2 linked regions of the Stegostoma tigrinum genome follow. The protein of the gene in region 2 purifies or fractionates together with the protein of the main gene of each other region. This does not show direct contact. Links are inferred from orthologs where the notes say so. Each region holds a gene or a part of one and is shown on either strand. Other genes may lie near its edges.

Region 1 (8,084 bases), on a different chromosome or scaffold from region 2:
ATGGTCCACTCTTTCTTCACCCGCAACACAGCTCCATGGCAACTTCCCCTGCAACTGGCGAAGATGCACCACCTGCCCATTTGACTCCTCCCTCCCCACTATCAAAGGGCCCAAACATACCTTCCAGGTGAAGCAATACTTGCCTGCAATTCCCAGAATTTAGTCTATTGCATTCAATGCTCACAATGCAGTCTCCTCCACATCAGGGAATCAAAGTGTAGACTGGGTGATTGCTTTGCAGGCCATCTACGTTCTGTTCGCAAAAATGAGATGTTGCCTGCCACTTTAACATGCCACCCTTTTCTCTCGCCAATATCTCTTTCTCTGGCTTGCTGCAGTGTTCTAATGCTCAATGCAAACTGGAAGAACAACACCCCATTTTCTGCTTTGAGACCCTGCAGCCCTCCAAACTCGATATGGCGTTCAATAATTTTAGGGCCTAAACACTCCCATGTCCCAGCCGCCTACCCCACACACTGAGCCTTGTTATCATATAACCTGCCATTGCACACTACCTATTGTTAGTCACTAATAGTCCCCATTAACAACTATTCACCCCCTTAGCCAGATCGTTATCAACTTCTTTGTCCATCCAACTGCTTTTCTCTCTCTTCTGGCTTTATCCTATTGTTTACTCCCTACCCTATCCTATTCCCCATACATATTTTCTGCATATAAAGCAATGTTTTCCCAGCTACCATGAGTTCTGAGGAAGGGTCACTGGACCCGAAATGTTAACTCTGATTTTTTCTTCACAGATGCTGCCAGACTTGCTGAGCTTTTCCAACAACTTCTGTTTTTGTTCCAAGGTCTCTGAGACTACACACTGAGGGTCCTGCCTGAGACAACCCCATAGAGATGCAATGGGAAAAGATCATTGTCTAAGGCTTTGCAGTCAGAGTGTATGAGAGGCTGGAACACCTCAATCTGTGTGCCTTACAAAGAATGTACATTGTAAATCAACAGTATTAAATGTATTAAGGTACCTCAGTGAAACATGGTGTTGAGAGGAAAATTTAATATCCATTGCTCTTTGATGATTTCCGATTTGAAATATTTTTGCCTTTGGACTGTGAACCTGATGTGGAATGTATTATGCAAATATTAAGAGTATTACTTCTGAATTTAATCTCACCATGTAACAAATACTCTGCTATTCCATTCTTCCTAACAAAGTGGATGATCTCAAATTCATCCACATTACATTTCCAGCTACCACATTCTTGACCACTCACCCACCCTGTCTAAATCCCTTTGAAGCCTCTATCCATCCTCCTGACAATTCAGATACCCATCAACATATTGTGTCATCTCTAAACCTAGCAATATTCCAATTAGACTCCTTGTTCAAATCATTGATACAGAATGTGAACATTTGGAGCCCAAACAGTGATCCTTACAGTATCAAATTAACACAACATGCAGACCTGGGAATGATTTGTAGCTTGTAGCTATTCCCACAGGAAATGTCTTGCAATTGTATACCACATGCATCTGTCTTACACCCATCCTCACCCTCGTCTCTAGTTTATCTGCAACCACTCTATTACATCCATCATTAAACTATGCCTAAGTGGACCACTCTTTCTACTGCCACCACTTGGCTCATAAAAGAGCTCTCCATAGCTTCTCAGCTCTGAACAAATGGTCGACTTATCATTATTTCCCCTACTGTATGTAACATGTTAGAGTCCTTTTCTGCTCTTGCAATTTTAATTACCACTTCATCAGATTATCACAAATTATGAGTTCCACTCTATGTGGTACGGCTGAACTATTGAAAACTGCTTTCCTCTACTGACTTGAAATGGCTATTCAGACTGTTAGTGCTCACCGTGATGATACGTAGAATCAAAATTCTTACAGTGTGGAAAGAGGCCATTCAACCCATCAAGTCTGCACCAACTATCTGAGAGTGTTCTACCTATACCGATCCCCCACCCAATCCCCAATATGCTGCATTTACCATGGCTAATCCACCTAACCTGCATATCTTTGGATAGTGGGAGGAATCCAGAGGAACCCCATTCAGACACAGGGAGAACATGCAAATTCCACAGGAATAGCAACCCGGGTCACTGGCGCTGTGAGGCAGCAGTGCTAACCACTGTGTCGCCCTAAGACTTTATCCCTTACAGCGCTATGAAGGTTTTCATAGTGTTTATGTATGGCTTTTTCACCTGTGTACTACAGTATGTTAGAAGTGAACAATTAAGCAGCCACCGAAGGAATAAAATGCTCAAGATGAGAAAAAAAAATACTCTGTTTTCCTCTTACACTGTTTAAGCATGTAAAGCACAAAAGGTTGAAACATAGGTATCTACACCAGATGAATATCATGTATCAACCTTCAGCTATGCAGCAACTTTAATGTAATAAAACAAGAGAAGGCACTTCACTTGAGTATTGTATAAAAAGAAAGACACCAAACCCATTGAGGATTTCTGGTCAGATGACCAAAGTTTGGGCAAAATAGTGGGTTTTAATGAGTGACAGAATGGATGAAGGTGAGGTGAAACGACGAGAAAAGAGTATTTCAGAGCTTAAGGGCTAGACAGTTGAAGGCACGGATATGAATGATGAAACAATTAAAATTGAGGAAGCACAAGAGGCTAAAATTAGAGAAACATTACATATTTAAGGGTTGTGGGTTAGAGAAGATTACAGAGGTAGGGACAGGCAAAGTCCTGGAGGAATTTGAAAATAAGGAAGAGAAAATTCTCAACAACTATATCTAAAACCCTTTATCTATTAACTAAACAGTAATTAATCATATCTGTATTTTCAGTTAATCATTTGCAGCTCATGGATAAAATTTTGCACATTGCATTAGAAAAATAAATGAAATATAATTTTGAAATAATGACATCCCCACACAGGACATGTGTGTTTCTTACTGAAATTAAATGCTTTCGTCTTTCTACTAACCAAACATGTATAGTGAAATTATACAGTGCAAAATTGTCTAGTTCAAAAAAGTTCAGCTGTACGTTCCTGAGGACTAATTGAATGATTCACTAAAGTTTCTTCCTGGGCAAAAGAAAAGCATATGTTTTACATGTGAAAATGTGAGAGTTGGAAAAATTGCTTTTCTGGCTTGACTGAATTAGCATCAGCTGGTATGGAAGTTATATTTTCCTGTTTATCAATATGTCAAGGAAGGTACACCAGCTGCTGTACTTTCCCTGATTAACAAATGCTAATACAGTGCAGCTTTAAGGTCCTTGGTATCCTTGCAATAAGGAAAAAAACATGTTAAAAATAATCTGGCATCATTTTCTATCCAAGCATGGCAAAGATACCACTTCAGCATCTATGCAGACCCCATTGGACTACTTTATTCAGGTTGTACCATTTCAGGAGCATCAATCCTAGAAAAGCCTGTCATGTTCCAGGATGTTGGTTTCAACGGATCAATGATCCAATCCAAATGTGTACTTGACCAGTTATTTAATTATGCTGTAAGAAATGTACATTTAATGTTACAACTCTCACAGAACTTTTCAAAGTCTTTGACAAGGGTAACAAATCGGACGTTTTACAGTTTGGGAAAATTCCCAAGTTAAAATTAAAGCTATCTCTACTGACCAGGAGTTAAATTGGAGAATGGAAGGCTGGAGACAGATGGTCTGTGGATCCTATCCAGGTGATTTGATATGCAAATTGCTCATGATAGAGAGACTGGCCAAGATTTTCTGAGCCCATTGAAAACACGGCATGTCCATTTGTGTCCTGTCAGCAGCTAATAGTATTTTCCCTGGAGGACAGATTCAGAATTGATATGCAAAACAAATTTTAAAAAGCAATCTTTCCACCAGTTAAAAAGAGGGAAATATTGGTTTCACTACAGTTGTAAGCTTACTGCATCAAACAGGTCCAGAGCTCAGAGAATGAGGAGAAGTGAGAGCAAATAAGAGGGGTTAAAACAGCAGGCGAATATATTCAATGGCTGTAATTCATGTCAGCACAGTCAAAGAGCTGATTGGCATTTATTAGCCGTTGATACTTTTCATTAGGAAAGTGATTGTAAGCTTTTGTAAACCTCCACAGTCCATCTGACAATCTCACGGCTCAAGATTCCCACTTGTTAGATTAATTTTGTTCTTAAAGATGCTGATTGTTTTGTGCTCCTGAGATGCTGCTTGGCCTGCTGTGTTCATCCAGCTTCACACTTTATTATCTTGGATTGTTTTGCTTTATATGTCTAACATTCACTGGATTTTCTTTTGTTTCAGTGAAAATATTGCTGTCTCTGAGTCAAAGGGTTGTGAGATCAAACTTCACTCCAGAGCTGAAGAATTTGATGTAGATCAAGATAAATACAGTACTTAGGGGCTGCTGTATCATCAACCTTTGACATTTACCCTGTCACTAAGCCAATTTTGAATCGAATTTGCCAAGTCGACCTGGATTCCTGGGTTTTTGCCCTCTTGACCATTCTTCCATACGAGCCCTTGTCAAAAGACTTACCTAAGTCCACGTAAACTACATCCGCTGCACTTCGCTTATCTGCACCTCTTGTCTCTTTCTTGAAGAAGTCAATTAAATCTCTGAAAAGTTAAGGGGATGTCTTACTTCTATTTGTCCAATTGTCATGCCAAACACTGATCTGGAGGTTGAAGAAAGTCACCAAGGATGTAGTTGAAGAGCTCATTAGCGATCTTTTGAATCTCACCGCAAGACGGTGATGCTTGGGAAGAGAGGTTGAGTCCTTGCAATCATTGCTGGAGTGAAAGGACAATGGAGAAAAGGCCAGAAGGCATAGAAGTGGGCGAGATAACCCGGATGAGTTAGGACAGTTGCAGGTTAGCAATAAAATAGTATCTTCTGTCAAGAATTGAAAAATAATTAATTGTGAGTAGGCCGTTTAATACAATGATGTTTTTTCAAAAAGAAACTGTTTAAATGAACTGAAAAATCTTAAAGAAAAACGAAAGTTAGAAGTGATCATGGCACACGTAAACCCAATCAGCAAACTGACAACAGACCTTCCCACGGAGTGTCTGTACAAGGGGCGGGGGTGGGTGGAAGAGCGGGCTCTTTGCGACGGTGGCGGCGGCTGCTTGGTTTACGGCAGCGTGGCGTCGCCATGGCAGGAGGCAGGATCTTCGTCCAGAGCGACTGGGTCCGAGCTCTGCGGTAACTGTGTCTGAGGGGGCTAGGAATTTCTAACAAACCTTTTCTTGTGGTTCCTTTTCACTCCTGTGCGGGTATTAATGACGTCTCGGTTTTATCCCGCAGGGAGAATGAGAGGGAAGCGTGGGTTTCCTGTAAAAGACCCGGTAAGGATCCTGAGGGAGAGTTTGATTTGGTTAAAGAGGGTCATCATCATCAACAAGATTCTAATAATAAAGTCAGGCCTGACTGCTTGGATATGTTTATTGCCTGATTCGCATCAGTTTGCACCGTCCCCTTTCTGACAATATGGTTTACCTGCTAGAGAACTGTTTTATTTTAAAAACAGGCCTCTGTATTTCTGTTCTTTCCCAATCTATGAATCATTGCCCCCCCTCCCCACCGTTTTTAGTCCTGAAGACTTTCATTGCCAGTGCTAGGGTATGAAATTACATATTGCTGCTTAGATAGTTAAATGCAGAAAAATCAGCATAAGTACTTGGCCCAGCCCCCTCAATCCTTATCCTGCTCAATAAGCCCTTCACATCTGACATCTGCCCAGAATGCAGAATTGTGGCGAAGCAGAAGGTCCATATTCATTCCATCATATTATTATACAGTGCAAAAGTAGCCCATTGAGTCTATACTGCCAAAAATATGCAGAGAATCCCACTTTCCCACACTGTGCCCATTAGTCTTGAATGTTATGACATTTCAATTGCTCATCCAAGTCCTTGTTAAGTTGTTGTGAGGTTTCCTGCCTCAGCTCCCCTTCCAGATAGTGTATTTCAGATCCCCACCATTCTCTGGGTGAAAAAGTTTTCCTTAAATCTCTGAATCTCCTGCCTTGCACTTTAAAGATATGTCCCTTTGTTATTGATCTTTTGACTAGGGGAAACAGCTGCTTTCTTTCACGCTGTCTGTGCCCCTCAATCTTCTAGATTTTACCAGGAAACCCCTCTCAACCTTCTCTGCAGCAAAGAAAACAACATGAGCTTAGCCAGCCTCTCTTCACAGCTGAAATACTCCTTACCAAGCAACATTGTCTGTATAGCTTTTGCCCTATTACCCTGAATATTATTTAGATTTAAGTGATCATCTCATGTCATCTTGAAAGCCTAAATTGAACTTGTTTCCATAATACTTTGAGGTAGTGTGTTCCAGATCCTGGCTACTTGCTGAATTTATCTGACACCACAGTTGCTTCTCTTGCAAATTATCTTATATCTGTGGCCTCTCGTTCTTGATTCTTTTGGGGGAGGGAACCATTTCTCTCTATCTACTCTACCCAGTTCTCTCAGAAGTTTTTCATTTCTTATCAAGTCTCTGCTTTGCCTTCTCCTCTCCAGAAACAAACACAAATTATTTAAATATATGTTATCTTTTGCCCTCAGCCTGTCTATCCAACCTATTCTTAAATGTTGCTTCAGATACAAACTTTAGTGCATTTTTTGGATTTCACAGTTGTGTGTTTAAACAAAAACTGTTCTGTTCTTTTTCCTGACCTTGAATTAATTTTGTTTCTGCTGACTTGTAACTGGAAACCCGTTAAGTATATTTTCTGTTTACTCCAGCAATGTTTTCAGATTTGCTTAGAACCCACCTTCACAAAATTCAGTGAACATTCACTCCTGAAAGCAGGAGTGGCTAGTCAGCAATTGGGCATGGGGGCCATGAAGCTTTTATTACTCCCTGATCTGGAACACTAAATTTCGCTTTAATATCTATCCTGTTTTGAAGGAACACTTTACTTCCGCAAAACTAGATAGTGGTGAAACAAATAAGCAAAGACCAAGTCGAGACAAGCCAATCATATTGAGGTGGCCAGTATGATTTTTGATGACTGCTTCCATTTCACTCATCAACTTTTGTTCAACCTCAATATTTGACTTGTACACCCCTGGAAGTCTCAAAACAGCTTTTTCCAGACATTTTGACAAACACCAGTTCCTGGCCCTACCTGCTGAACTGCTTGTTAGTCCAGTATTGACTTCCACTCTGACCTATGCTATCTGCCACACCATAATCAACCAAGTTGAGCTCAACAAGTGCTACCCACTAGCAAAAACTATGCTCGCTATTGTGTAGAAGATGACCATTTCTTGAAAGTGTAAAGTCATTTGTTGTGCTTTGGAAAATGGCTCTGGACCTTATTGCAGATGTGCATGGCTTTCCACACTGATTAGATTAGATTCCCTACAGTGTGGAAACAGGCCCTTCGGCCCAACAAGTCCACACCGCCCCTTGCAGCATCCCACCCAGGCCCATCCCCCTATAACCCACACACCTCTGAACACTACGGGCAATTTAGCATGACCAATCCACCTAGCCTGCACATCTTTGGACTGTGGGAGGAAACCGGAGCACCCGGAGAAAACCCACACAGACACGGGGAGAATGTGCAAACTCCACACAGACAGTTACCCGAGGCTGGAATCGAACCCGGGTCCCTGGTGCTATGAGGCTGCAGTGCTAATCACTGAGCCACCATACCACCATGGTCTGGATAAATTTTGTTTTTCTCTTGGGGCATATAAGAATGAGGAGTAGGAGCTTTTTCTCCTCCCGTCCTGTGGCAGATATGCAACATTTTCTGAGGTTTGCCTTTAAAGAGCACGAGCCTTCATTTTGGCCTCCCTGTTAGACTCTGTCCAAGTTCAGATTATAAACTTGTGACCATCATAAGGAATTTATTATCAACCATCAATGCCACATGCCCATTTCACCTAAGCTGGACTCTGCTGTTGGAGCATTTCAGTTCAAGACACTTATTCTTAAAGTAACTCAATGTTCAGCACTTTGTTATCCTATTTATTGCTCATGATGGTCTAAATGATCTCGCATAGAACCTGTCCAGTTACATTATAATGTTAAAATAGATATTCTGTGTCTCACAGACAGTTGGGAGGGCATCAGCACAGTTTTGTTCAGGACCTTTTGAATTGTTCGTAGACTGATCCAAAATGCAA
Region 2 (7,517 bases):
AACTCCCACACTGGCTAAGGTTACCATGAAGGATTCAGATTCTCAACCACTCTTCGCCTTAAGTATAGTAACCTTCAGGTTAAATAACCATCATCTCTCTCTAATGAGACAGCAGCCTTATTGTCTGATATGTTTATAACAGGTTTACTTTTTTTTAAAAAAAGGAGAGTCCTGCTATTCCTGGTAATGTGCTTCTATACTCATTGAAAAATCAGAAGAATGATAGGCAACCTTATTGAAATGTACAAATTTTCTAGGGGATTTGAAAGGGTAAATGTGGAAAAGTTGTTTTACTTCACAGGAGAGAATAGATCCAGGACCATAATCTCAGAGGTTGCACATTTAAGGCAGATAAGGAAGTTCCTTTGAGGGTAGCAAATCTGTGGATTTTTTAAAATTACAGAGGGCAGTCAAGGCTGGACCAAAGTCTATTCTAAGGTAAAATAGATTTATAATCAGTAAGGAAATTGAGGGGTATAGGAAAAGGTGGGAAAACAAAGTTGAGGATTGTCAGCTCAGCCATGATCTCACTGAATGGCAGAATAGATTCGATGGGCTACTTACGCCCTACTTCTGGTGCTTTGTCTTATGGTTTTAGACGAGACGAGAATTCTTTTCACTCAAGCTTGAGCGCCTTTGCATCACTTCCTGAAAGGATAGTGGAAGCAAAGTCCTTGACTATTTTAAAAGCAGAGGTTGACAGACTCTTGTCAAGCAAAGTCATAAATAAGGGTAGGCAGGAATGTCAAATTTGAGATTCTGACCAAATCAGCTGAGATCTTTCGGACGGCAGGGCAGGCCTGAGGGACTGAATGGCCTGCACTTGGGTCTAACTCATGTTCATATGCTAAGACAAAAGAAAAACATGAAATGCTCAAAATTCACAATATATCAGGTCACAACTTTAAATGAGAAATGCAATTAACATTTCAGGCCCTTAAACTTTAAAGTGCATGATGGCTAAAAACAAATTTGGTCTCCTCAGCACAGGCAGCATTTGCGACAAGAATTTCCAATAGCTAATTAACCCAGACATCAAGACCATCTGACCTCTGCAGCTTGACACATTACATGATGCATTAAGTCTGATCAACTAAATTGTTCAATGAATTTATGAGCAACAGAACAAGTTCGTTCAGCCACTTTTGCATTATTGCACGCAGTTCTGGTCTCCCTCCTAATAAGAAGGATATTGTGAAACTTAGAAAAGATTTACAAGGATTTTGCCAGAGTTGGAGGGTTTGAGCAAAAGGGAGAGGCTGAATAGGCAGGGGGCTATATTCCCTGAAGCGTCGAATGCCGAGGAGTGACCTTACACAGGCTTATAAAATCACAACGGGCATGGATAGGGTAAATAGACACGGTCATTGCCCTAGGGTGGGGGAGCTCAAAACTAGGTTTAAGGTGAGGGGGCAAGATATAAAAGGGATCTAAGAGGTAACTTTTTCCACAGAGAACAGTGCATGCTTGGAACAAGCTGCCAAAATGGAGGAGGCTGGTACTAATACAACTTTTAAAAAGGCAACTGAATGGGTATATGGAAAGGAAAGACTTAGAGGGATATGATCCAAATAGTGGCACATGCGAGTAGATTTATACAGGATATCTGGTCAGCATGGACAAGTTGGACTGAAGGGTCTGTTTTCATGTTATATATCTCTGACATTATGACTCTATGAAATGTGAAACTGTGAACATCCTGTCCCATGACTTTGTTTTGTACCTGGCAAAATTGGCAACTTTCCATAAGTAACAAAAACAAGGATATTTGTCATAAGCAATGTCTCCACCCCTAGCAATCACAAACAGCATACAATCTAACCCTGTTCCCCTTTCGTTTAAAGAAAAAGGCCACATACACACACAGTAATTTCAAGGGGGCAACCAGTACCCATGAAGTTTCAAACTACTGCACAGCTCAGAACGTTCTGAGGAAGTGTCACCAGACCTAAAGCATGAACTCTGTTCTTTTCTTCACAGATGCTGCCAGACCTGGTCTTTTCCAGCAACTTGTTTTTGTTCCTGATGTACAGCATCCGCTATTCTTCGGTTATTGTTTAGACAAAACTTTGGTTAGAAACTCCGTTCCAACTGAAACAACTACTACACCATCACCTGCAAATTCCATTCTCACACCAACAGTGTCCCCCCCTCCCCTCCAACTCCCGGTCCCCACCACTGTCTTCACCCAGCCTGCACGACACAAACTAGCCAACTCAACACCCTTTCTACAACCACCCTATCACATAAATAGCCAATTCACCAACCTCTGAACTCTCAACTCCCCATCCGCTCTAAATCCATACACCAACTATCACATTAAGAAAAATTAACCAACTCCTTCACATACGACCTCCAAACAAAAGACACCACCCAAAAAAATGTCCCCCTACACTCAACCCTACAACCCCATAACTCCTTACTTCATCCTCAAACATAAAGCCATTCCTACTCAAAATAATTTGTGATTTAAGCCCTTCTCTCGCGCCCCCCCCCCCCCCCCCCCCACTTCCTTACCCAGCCTCCAGCCTCCTTCCCAACGCATTCACGCACCCCCCCATCCCCCACAGCACCTCATCTCCCCACCGTAACCCCTTCAGTACACTAGACTACCCCTTCCCAATCCCGGCTTTGGGGGAGGAGTGTGAGGACGGGCTTGTTTCCTTACATCCTCCACGGTGCCGGCGGTGCGGTCCTTCCAGCAGAAGTGAATGAGAGAGTCATCAGTCTGCTGGATATAAACCTGCCCCTTGCGCTTGTCCGGAGTCACTGTCGAGCCTTTCAGCGACATCTTGCCGGCTCGGAACTCCACCAGGTATTTACTGGAAGAGCCACGGCTCCCAGCTACCAGGCTGGGGAACAACGCTCCTGAGGCCGACATGACGGAAAATTAGACCAGACACCGCTTCTGCCTCTTTTTCCCTTCCTTTCTTGAATTTAACGTCCACCGAAAGTCAGCACCATGTAACGGCCGCCACAACCTAACCTGAAACCACCCTCCTCAATCCCCATTGATTTACTCAGTCCCCGCCTAGCTTATTCTGGCTCCTGAATGGTTAACCCAACCGTCAATCATCATGACGTAAGCCATCCTTTGTCATGTTTGGTTGAGGCGCAGCTGAGCGGAAGTGCTGTGTCATTGGGCGCTATGTGCTGCCTCCTAAAGCTGTAGAGCGGTATTGCACTTCTCTGACATGTATAGAAGATCCCAGCTCCACTGTACTCAAGGGCTGGATATTTCATTCGCCAGCAGATCAGCTGCTTCAGTCTCAACGACGATATAGTCCTGGAGATAATGGGAACTGCAGATGTTGGAGAATCCAAGACAACAAAGTGTGGAGCTGGATGAACACAGCGGGCCAAGCAGCATCTCAGGAGCTGCTTAGCCTACTGCGTTCATTCAGCTCCACACTTTGTAATCAACGATATAGTACGATCTGCCTGTATAGCACATAAGACGACACTTTTCATTGTACTTTGGTGCACGTGACGGTAATAAATCAAATCAAACAAAGCCATATTCTAAGATAAAAAGGTGTGGAGATGGATAAACACAGCAGGCCAAGCAGCATCAGAGGAGCAAATTTCTGAAGAAGGGTCTAGGCCCAAAATGTCAGCCTTCCTGCTCCTCTGATGCTGCTTGGCCTGCCGTGTTCATCCAGCTCTACACGTAGTTATCTCAGATTCTCCAGCATCTGCAGTTCCTACTACCTTCACAGCCATATTCTAGCCTTAAGGCACAGGAACCAGACAAAAACACACTACAAAAACTAGTCCTTGCCAGTGTTTATACACCACATCGGCTCTGCCCAGCACATCTACACAGCAATGTTGGAGGATTCAACTGAGGTATTCAAAAGAGAATTGGATAATTGGTTGATTTAAAGTAATTTGCAGATCTACAGGGGAAGGGCTTAGGAACTACTCTTCCAGCAAGATGGTAAGCAGATAATGGATGTTGAATTGCCTCCTTTAACACAGTGCACACTTTTTGATTATATGATATTAGGGATGCCCATGACTAAGCAGCACAAAATGGCTGATGGCTGTCCATGGCTAATGCAGCAGAACATGGCTGACAGTAGTTGGAGGTCTTGGGAAAATATTTGCTTAATGTGGTCTTTGCAAGTGGAACAATAGTAGCTCTGTAGACTCATGATTACTGGACTCGGATAGAATATGCAGCTGCAGTTGCTCATGCACAAGACATAGAACGTTTCACACTAATTAGTTGTTTCTCTTGAATTATGAAATCATTCTGTGATAATACTAAGAGTAGGTTTTAGTTAAGATTCCTCAAATAATCATATAGATTCCAAAGCAATTATAGATTCACCTATCTACAAAAAAAAATCACTAAAAGCATTACAAGCTCCTAAGATGCTGCAAGACCAGCTGTGTTCATCCAGCTCAACACTTTGTTATCTAGAAGAAAAGATTCAAACAAGTTTCAGACAGTAAAGCAGCACCACCCCTCCACCCCCTCCCCATATCATTCCAGGGAGAAATGAATCAAAGGTACAGACATTAGCAGACACTGGAATGTGGATTGAATCAACACATTAAGACACAACTTGTTGGCTAAACAATTCTAATATTAGGTGTAACACATAACTTGGTTTGAAATGTTCAAAAATCAACATTCTTTTTATTTCCTGTAATGAGGAGCTTAAAAGCTCCTGAAGTGACAGGCAAATATCCAATTAATTGGCAGTTAACATGGAGCAGCTGGCAAATGTTACTTGAATACAACGTCCATTCTGAAAAGCTTCAAGAAGGAAGATAAAGTCTGGGAAACATCATGAAGGAGCGGGGGTGGACCACAAGCCTGTCCTTCTCTTTGTTACTCAGTGATCATACGACACCAGGTTATAGTCCAACAGGTTTATTCAAAAACGTAAGTTTTTGGAGTTCTTACTCCTTCTTCAGGTGTTAGTGAGAGAGGTAGTATCAGGCACGGAATTTATAAGTAAAAGATGAAAGGATCACACCATTGATGAGGATGTACTAAACAAACCTAAGATGCTGTTAAATCTTTAATCAATTCGAAGGTTTTAATTGATTAATATGAATATGTAATTGCCCGAATTTCTTTGAAGTCACCGTCCTGAGAGAACTAAAGGTCTTACCTTACACCTAACATATATTGTCTGACCTAAAATGTCACCTCTTCGTTACACTGACAAAAACCTTTAGTTCTTTCAGGACAGTGACTCAAACTCTCATTGGAAAATATGAGAGCTAACATATGACCTTGTCCAAAGACCACTTTCCTTTATATCACACAAACCATGATTTTCTTTATCCTTATTCACATACAAAGCTTTATCTTAAACGGAACAATTTTTTATATTTTAATGATTCCATGTAGCTGACCTTCATTTTCTCCCTATGCTCTGTGTAACATAATTCACCCTAAACTCTTTAAGTGATCAATAGGTGGCCACTTTATACTGTTACGTCCTCTTGTTCTGGGTTCCACACAATTTGAAACAGCTTCTTCAAATTCACCTTGTGAAACCTATTCCCAAGTTTAAAGACATAATTCAGTACAACTCCACTGGAGTGCTTAGCCTAGATTTTGTTCTCCTAGAGATTGCAGCAATACTTAGGCTGACAGTCCAATGCAGTACCCAATGAGTGCTACACTGTGAGATGTACTGCCCTCCTTTACACAAAGGTCCCATATGTTCTCTCAGGAAGTTATAAAAATTCAGTGGCAGTGTTTCAAAGAGCATGGGAGAACTCCACGGTGTCTTGGTCAATGTTTCTTTCTCAATAAATGCCTCTAAAAACAAATCCATTCCTCATTATCACACAATAACTGCAGATGCTGTAAATCAGAGACAAAACAGAAATTGCTGGGAAAGCTCAGCAGGTCTGGCAGCATCTGTGGAGTGAAATCAGAGTTATCGTTTCATTAACTGAGCTCTGATGAAGGATCACTGGACCCGAAACATTAACTCTGATTTTTCTCCACAGATGCTGCCAGTCCTGCTGAGTTTTTCCAGCAATTTCTGGTTTTTGTCGCTCAATATCACACTGCTAATTTTGGAATTTATTGCATGCAAATTTGTTGCCATTTCTCCCATGTTATAACAATAATTGCACTTCATAAAGTATCTAATTGGTAACAAAATGCTTTGGGTCATCTCAAAATCATGTACTACAGGAATGCAAGTGTTTCATTTTCCTAATAAGAATGCTTTGTATTTTATTTTTCCAGAGAAAAGATCCACAGATTGTTCAATCTTTCCTGACAGTTGCATCTATGTAATTCCATTAACACTACATAATTATTTGCTACTCTTTCTGCAATGCTTCAATGTCATTTTCATAATATGGAGACCAAGGCAGTACATAGCATTCAAGTATAAAGCTAATGTTTCTCATAAATATAACAGATTTTATTCTATTTCTTTAGGCATGTACTGTACTTTATTTGCATCCTTTCTGGCCATAGCCACTTGCATTTTGACTTGTAGTGAGGTAGGCATCTCACATTGTAATTGATCATCCTGCATTTGTAGTAAACATTTTACGATCATCATGTTCTAAATATAGTCATGAGACTTCACCTGCGTTCAAAGTGCAAAAAAGTCATGATGCTAAGATTTCTCCTGGCTGTTCAGTTCGTGATATTTATTGCATTTAATCAATACAATATTCGAGCCAAACGAATAAGTAAGGTGTTTGGTTCACTAGACTGATATAGAAACCACAGATCGGAAATGTGTATACACTATACGGCTATAAGTCTGAGGTCGTTTACTTTGAATCTGAAGAAAACAAATCAAATAATTTTTTTTACCAGCAAGAGACCAGGAGCGAGGGAGAGGCAAAGTCTCATGTGCATAAATCATGTAAATTGTGTGCAAGTACAAACTATGACCACAAAATACCAATGGACTCTCAACCCTTATCTGAAGGAGACTGGCATTCCAAAGTGTGAAAATGAGTCTTCAGTCATTTATACAGAACTATGTGTCGCATTCAGGAAGGAAGACACAGGAACGGTATAGCAGAGTGTCACCGGAATGACATTGCATCTTAAAGGGTTAAATTATCAGGACAGATTTCATAATAATAAGTATTATTTATAATCTTGAGGAATAATCTAAATGAGGTGTTTAAAACAATGGAGAGACTTTTTTTCTTTGGATGAAGAATGGAGAGCAAGAGGACTTAAGCTCAAAAAAGATCATTTAAGAGTGAAAGTAAGAAGCACACTTTCACACAAAGATTAGTGTAAATCTGGAACTCTGTTCACTAAAAGAGATTGACCAGCATCCAATGTCAAATTTTCAAATCTGAGACTGATTTTTTGTTAGGCAAAGATGTCAAAGGATACTAAATTAATGTGAAATAAGGTGTGAAAGATTTTGATAAGACTGAATACAATGTTTTCTCTTGTGGGAAAGACTATTACTAGAAACCATCAAACAAGATAGTCTGCAAGAAATTCAACAGAAAATTTAGAAGCAAAATCTTCACCAAAACAGTAATAAGAATGACCC

What was found. Proteins that work in one complex are often made in the same cells at the same time.
Region 1: the proteins of adrm1 (region 2) and proteasomal ATPase-associated factor 1-like purify together in Homo sapiens (affinity purification with mass spectrometry; 3 studies listed by BioGRID and IntAct, counting the BioPlex papers as one, with this or other methods). This does not show direct contact. The link is inferred for Stegostoma tigrinum from reciprocal best matches to the Homo sapiens genes ADRM1 and PAAF1.

What each region holds. Positions count from the first base shown.
Region 1 is NC_081359.1:91,970,682-91,978,765, forward strand, and holds the start of proteasomal ATPase-associated factor 1-like, read left to right. Parts: upstream 1-5,053; 5' UTR 5,054-5,089; coding exon 5,090-5,139; intron 5,140-5,241; coding exon 5,242-5,282; intron 5,283-8,084. UniProt on the Homo sapiens protein: Inhibits proteasome 26S assembly and proteolytic activity by impairing the association of the 19S regulatory complex with the 20S core.
Region 2 is NC_081372.1:18,362,016-18,369,532, reverse strand, and holds the start of adrm1 (proteasomal ubiquitin receptor ADRM1), read right to left. Parts: upstream 3,016-7,517; 5' UTR 2,882-3,015; coding exon 2,669-2,881; intron 1-2,668. UniProt on the Homo sapiens protein: Component of the 26S proteasome, a multiprotein complex involved in the ATP-dependent degradation of ubiquitinated proteins.